Linked DNA regions of Kluyveromyces lactis. The protein of the gene in region 1 purifies or fractionates together with the protein of each later gene. This does not show direct contact. Links are inferred from orthologs where the notes say so. Each region holds a gene or a part of one and is shown in the gene's direction. Other genes may lie near its edges.

Region 1 (3,935 bases):
CAATGAGCAGACGTTAAGGAAACTATCGTTGTTATCGTCTTGGCCAGTATCTGCATTAAGACATTTCATCACTTCCTTGATAAGCAATATTCCCTCTTTCGAATACCCAAGAAATGTGTTATAATTATTCCCTGATATGAATCCCATCTGCTTCATGAGATTGTCGCTCATGGATGAATCACTGGATCCAATATCTAACATCTCCTCCATTTCTGCTTCATTGAAAAAATGGTTACCTTTCGCTACACAAGCAACTATAGCAATGGCACAAAACCAGTTACGTGCTAGTGTTACAGTCCTCCTATGCAAAAGTGTGCTCCCAGTGCTTCCAGTCACCATTTCTCTGTTGTCGTTGTATTTCATAAGTAGATCCTTAGCTCCTCGTAGATGGAATTTCCATTCTTGAGTTCCAAACGTTGAACTATCCAATGTCAACAATAGCACACATAAATTCAAAGAGTCTATCTGTGAAAACCCCAATGATTCTTGGGATAGAGATTCGAATTCTTGGTACAATTGCTGTAGTGCTTTTCTCAAGAAATGTTTCCTAATTATATTATCATGCTCTTTCCCGTAAACATTGTAGACATATTTAGCACTGATTGACACCATCGAACTCTGTAAGTAAGACTTTTCTCGGGCGTGTTTTTTATTTGCTCTTATTACGTGCTGGAATAAGATATGGTTACAAATGTTAGAATCCGGTGATTGTGCTAGCGGCATCAACCAGTATGATACATTGTCATAAAATATCTTCAAATATGATAATTCCGATTTTGATACCTCTCCTAACATTCCTTCGATCTCTTCCCATCTGTTGAACACGGGCCCGCCTATGTCATCATTGATAGAACTGATACTTTTCTGTTGGCCTTGGTTTGCGGTCACGGCGTCTGTTTCGGGCAGCTTGGAGAATAAATCATTAGCAAAGAGAAGCGCATCGTTCAATAGCGCATTCAAATCATCTTCGTCATTACCAATCGCATTGGTTGCAGCATGCTCAAAATCCACGTCACGTTCATTGTTCGAGAGTTTTCTAGTATCAGATGATGAATGATGTTCCATGTTTTTCCTATGCAGATCGCCATCTTCCTTATTCTTTCTCTTTTTATCCGAGACTGAGGTCACTTTAGAGTTTACTCGAGATTTATTGGGTCCCCCAGAAACAACAAATTGAAACTCTTTGGTCTTATAAACACATTCAAGAGACAAATGCGTGCACTGCCAACACATAGGCTTCGTCTCATCACATTTAACCTTCTTTCTCTTACATTCAAGGCATCCATTTTTGGAATACTTCCTCTTCTTCTTGGCAGGTTCGGTCACATTAGAGACTGCAGTGTCCGGAGTAGTGTCTGCCATCTCAATAATATATTATATTATACCAACACCAACCACCTGGACGTAATATGCCCTTTTACAGGTCTTATACTCTCCCTTCTTGCCACGCTTTAACTTGCATTGAGTCACATGACATGCGGCATTCTTTATATCATGCACGTCTCTTTTTATTCATTAACACATCTAAACCTCGAAAAAAATTCAGAAGGAATTAAATCTGTGAAAACATTCAGCACTGAAAAGAACTTCGTTATGACATTGCTAAACGTCGTGAAATAATTTCAAGACTGCTGCTAGACGGTTGTGGCTGGTAGTTAAATATGAGTTCATACGTATGTTGTATTTTTGAAAAGGAATTGGTGTGAAATGGCTGTTTAGACTGCTACACAATGATCATACCATATCTATAGTATTATCACCGACAGTTGTTGCTCAATGAATTATCAAAGAACAGATATCCAAGCTGGTAAGGTTTATTGATATTATGCATCTATTGACACTGGGTATGCGATGGTTTAATTCTGCTTGTTTTTTGGCTAAGATTGTGGCAGGTGTCGCTATTATAAGTGCTTTTAGTTTCCAGTATACCTAAGGAAAACTACTGCGCAGGAAACATACTAGTCATTGGCTGTAATACATCTTTGCTGCAAATCTAAAGATTAGTTCATTTCTAGGCTTCTGCTTCAAGCGTTAACATGTGATACTAACTGGTTACTATATGAGTTGCCATTAATTACTTTTTTCTGGCCTTTATTAATATAGTCAAGAGAGAGATCGAGATCTAGATCACCTGTAGCAAGATCAGGAAACGAAGATCCACGCAGAGGCGGTTATCCTGATCGTAGCTATAGGGATGATAGAAGAGGAAACTACAGCGGAGATAACAGAAGATCTGAAGGATATAACAGGGACACTTATTCAAGAGATAGGGACGGAGACAGATATTCGGGTGGAAGATCTGTAAATCGTGGATACCGTTCTGTTGGAAGGGACAATGGGTACGAGAATCAAGGTTATAACAGTGGTAGATATGGCCGTGGTAGATCCTCGAGATATGATCGAGGAGGAGCTGCTACTGCTGCTGCTGCCGCCGCTAAAGGAGACTATGGACCGAAATTAGCGAGAGAGCTCGATTCTCCATATGATGAAAAAGTAAACAGAAACTATGCCAACAGTATCTTCATCGGTAACCTTACATATAATACTACACCAGAGGATTTGAAGGAATATTTTGGTAAGATCGGTGAAGTTCGCAGAGCAGATATTATTACTTCTAGAGGTCATCACAGGGGCATGGGTACTGTGGAATTCAATAACAGTACTGACGTCGATACGGCCATTAGAGATTGTGATGGTGCCTTTTTGAACGGACGTGCCATTTTTGTCAGGCAAGATAATCCACCTCCTGCTGAAATCTCGAGAACTGGAAATAATAACGGCCCACCGCCTCCTCCAAAACGTGCTCACGATGAAGGTTTCGAAGTTTTCGTGGCACAGCTACCATTCTCTGTTAATTGGCAAGAATTAAAAGATATGTTCAAACCGTGCGGTGATGTTTTGCATGCTGATGTTGTCACTGATCGTGACGGTAAGTCAAGAGGTTTTGGTACGGTCTATATGGCTACCAAAGAACAACAAAATGATGCTATTCGTCATTGGACTGGTACAGAGTATAAGGGCCGTGTATTAGATGTTAAAGAAGGTAAAGGAACTTCTACACGTACTGCAGCCACTGGTGCCGATACTTACATCCCTCGTCAACCACGTAATGAACCACCAGCAACTCTTAAACCAAAACCACTAGATATCGATCCTCTGGCTATAACTACGGGTGGTGATAGAAACTCTGTAATCTTCTGCGAAAATATGCCATCTTCTACCACTGAATCTGATTTATATGACCTATTTGGCAGTGTTGCACCGGTTATAATAACGAAATTACTGTTGAATCCTGAAGGTCATTTCACAAGGAACTCATATTGTCAATTTGAAACACCAGAGGACGCAGATATATGTATCAGCAAATTGGACAAATACTCCTATGGAGATCATGAGTTAAAGGTGACTTATGCCAGATTCTAATTCTAACTTCTAAATAATCATGTTTTATATTTTGATATCTAGCGGGCATTACTTGAGGTAATATCACTAATTAATAACCTATTCAAACTTCTACGTTTTCTCCATAGGGACTAAGCGCTGAACTGCAATCGCGTTGGTTTTGTTTCATCATCTTCTGCTAAAACGCCACCTAAGTAGTCATAGGAAGAATCTCTTAGGAAAGAGGGTTCATCATGTTTGCCGTTGTTTTCGTCGGTCAAAGCACCGAAAGCAGCAGCCTTAGGAGCAGCTTTTTTTGAAGCTGGTGGTTGTAAACTCTTGAAAAATGTGTCTGATTTATTACTGATGTCAAACATATCCAATTTGCTTGGAGAAACCCAGATTGGCTCATCGTCGTTTTCAACTGCTGTTGGGTGTACTTTATCGTGAGCTGAAAAAAAGGATTCGTTGGATTTGGTGAAATTGTCGAATTTGTAGAATACAGGCTCTGCTACCTTCCGAGGTAGAACATTTTTATTTTCAAAAACATCGCC
Region 2 (2,978 bases), on another chromosome or scaffold:
GACTGGCAAATATTTCTGGTATTTTGTTAGGAAAGCAGGAGTTAAAAGGCATACATACAGTTGTTATTATCAAACCATGTTCAAAAACGTTTTGAAACCAGGAATTGTTAGTGGTCTAAGACCCCAAGTTATGACCTCAAACACAAGAGGTTTGATGGCTTCTTTTATTCGTCGTCAGTCTAATGTCGTCACCAAGAAGACTACGGCTCAAGAAGAGTACGAGTTGCTAGTTTCTCAGAGAAAAGTTAGACCAGTGTCTCCTCATTTGACCATTTATCAACCACAATTGACATGGTATTTATCGTCCGTGCATCGTGTTTCCGGTGTTTTCTTGGGTCTAGCGTTCTATGCAGTAACTATTGCGTTCGGTGTTTCCACTGTGTTCGGTCTAGGAATGTCCACAGAGAATTTGGTTCAATTTTATAACGAAAAGATCCCATCCTGGATTGATTTGACCGCAAAGGCTGGGTTCGCATACTTGTTTGCATTCCATTTCGGTAACGGTATCAGACATCTGATCTGGGATACCGGTAAAGAGTTGACCTTGAAAGGTGTCTACAGAACAGGTTACGCTGTGCTAGGATTGACTGCTATCATGGGTTCTTACCTATTAACATGGTAAGAAAATTTTCTCTGTTCCCTCACAGACGCTTTACTCACACATTCCTTTCTCAGTATGTACACTTCTCTATATCAATGATCCAGTTATTTATTTATTCTAAACTTTGAACCGCTTCAAGCGGCTGTAGTTTCATATTCTTACTTCCCTTTCTTCTTCTTCTCTTCTCAATATACTAGGTATTCCATCTTTTCAACATTAAAAACTCTTTATACTTAAATACATTGAAAACTTATCAGTTATAGTTTGGAATGATGATGAAATGGACACACCACAGGCCAAACACAGGGGTATCCATGAGTCAGCCCAAGATTTTCAGGAAGAAGAGACAGGAGTCTCGTTACCACGGTGGGTCGCAGTCGCGGTACCAGCCAAATAGGCCTAATAATCATCATAATACAGCTGGAAATGTTAACGTCAATCGTTCTTTGGGGAAAAGAAATCCAAGAGGTAAGTTCAACAGGCCCAGTAATGGACCTGAAACGAGTGGATCGAGGTTCGAAGGTCATGGCAGTATACCTAGGGGCCCCAGGGCTATGGGGTCAAGTGCAGAAAGCGCTGGAGATTCTCATTCAAGAAATATTTTTGGCAAGAAACCTTTGGCATTGATATCGTTTCAAGATGTGAAATCCAGCTTCCAACCGTTGGCACAAGTCGGAGAAGGTACCTATGGGAAAGTTTATAAGGCGGAGAACGTACATACTGGGAAACTTATCGCTTTGAAGAGGCTTAGGTTGGAGCAAGAGCGTGATGGGTTTCCAATAACTTCTATTCGTGAAATTAAACTATTACAACAGTTGAACCATCCAAACATTAGTTTGATCCATGAGATTATCGTATCGGATAAAAATACAATTTCTATGGGATTCCAGTACATGGAGAACGATTTGTCAGGGATGTTAATGGATAAATCGATCCAGTTTTCCGATTCCAACATTAAGCACTTGATGAAGCAATTGTTCGTTGGGTTACAGTATTTGCACCAACAGCAAATAGTACACAGAGACATCAAGGGATCGAATTTATTGATAGATAACAGAGGTAACTTGAAGATAACAGATTTCGGTCTTGCCAAGAAACTAACGGACGTTTCTTCTCCAGCCTCCAATACCAACAGAGTCATTACGCTTTGGTACAGGCCTCCCGAACTACTTCTAGGGGCAACAGACTATAAATACGAGGTGGATTGTTGGGGATGTGGGTGTCTCTTAGTGGAATTGTTTGCAGGGGCTGCCATATTCCCAGGTTCTAACGAAGTAGATCAATTCCAGCGAATATTGAGCATCATGGGAAGTCCGACTTTGGAACAATGGCCCAAGATGTTAGATATGCCGTGGTGGTTCATGCTTGTACCACAAATATCTAAGACTTACAAGAACGTATTCTTCGATGAGTTCAGCAAAGTACCGCAGGATGCCCTAGATTTGGCATCCAAATTGTTACGATACGATCAGGATACAAGATTCACGACAACTGAAGCATTACAGCATCATTACTTCACAAATGAACCCAAACCACAACCTCTACTCTTGGGACCCGAGTTCAAAGGTTCGCACGAGTACGAAGTGAAAAAGATCAGAAGGAAGGAGCGCGAACGCCAGAAGGAGACCACCGTTTAGAGAAGAAGCGGGGGTTTTCCTTTGATCTCATTTTCTCATTTTCTCATGATCCATAGATATTAGGTATACGTTCATATATACATATAGTGTTACAAACCGATATTTATCGTAGGCATGTATCTCATACCTCATTTCTTTAACATTTCATCTTCGAATACACGGTTACTGCCGATGAAAGTGCTGGCTTGGACGGCTCCCAGTTTCGTTATCATATTGCTTTGGTTTGCCATGATTTCCACTTGAGCCGTTGTCTCATCGAGATTCTCACGAAGTTGTTTCAAATGTGCTGCTAGTCTCGCATATTGGCGCTGTTTGTTGTCCATGGTAAATATCAGTAACGTGGATGACCTTCCGAGTAAAGATCTTGAGCAATATCCTTTGGTACTTCTGTTTTAAAGGTTCTCTGCTATTAGTGGATGCAATTTTAAAGATTCAATGTTTTGATTTAAGTGAACACAATTGACAATCTCATCGAATTGAATCATAAATAGATGTGATATATGAAACAGTACTGCACAGTACTGAGCAACAGTGGATATTGCAGCACCCAATGTCACGGCTCAATGATCCAGTAGAGCTTTTACAGCAAACCCGGTCCAATTTCATCATTGAAAGCGATGTCTCTAATATTAAAGAGATCAAGAGTAATATGAGACAGCTCACGAAATTGATGGCTGAGAAACAAACACACCACAATGAGCTCATGAAACAATTGCAATCACAGCTGCAAAGACAGCAAA

What was found.
Region 2: the proteins of KLLA0_D05016g (region 1) and CTK1 purify together in Saccharomyces cerevisiae (affinity purification with mass spectrometry; 3 studies listed by BioGRID, with this or other methods). This does not show direct contact. The link is inferred for Kluyveromyces lactis from reciprocal best matches to the Saccharomyces cerevisiae genes HRB1 and CTK1.

Annotation. Positions count from the first base shown.
Region 1 is NC_006040.1:431,080-435,014, reverse strand, and holds KLLA0_D05016g (uncharacterized protein), read left to right. Parts: upstream 1-1,661; coding exon 1,662-1,673; intron 1,674-2,103; coding exon 2,104-3,423; downstream 3,424-3,935. Other genes in the region: KLLA0_D05038g (Zn(II)2Cys6 transcription factor), read right to left, coding at 1-1,362; BUD3 (Bud3p), read right to left, coding at 3,534-3,935. UniProt on the Saccharomyces cerevisiae protein: Binds to intron-containing transcripts and is involved in quality control for the export of spliced mRNAs from the nucleus. Binds to pre-mRNAs until splicing is completed or until faulty mRNAs are degraded.
Region 2 is NC_006041.1:1,079,375-1,082,352, forward strand, and holds CTK1 (cyclin-dependent serine/threonine protein kinase CTK1), read left to right. Parts: upstream 1-870; coding exon 871-2,238; downstream 2,239-2,978. Other genes in the region: succinate dehydrogenase cytochrome b subunit SDH3, read left to right, coding at 77-622; HSK3 (Hsk3p), read right to left, coding at 2,367-2,561; kinetochore-associated Ndc80 complex subunit SPC24, read left to right, coding at 2,789-2,978. UniProt on the Saccharomyces cerevisiae protein: Catalytic subunit of the CTDK-I complex, which hyperphosphorylates the C-terminal heptapeptide repeat domain (CTD) of the largest RNA polymerase II subunit.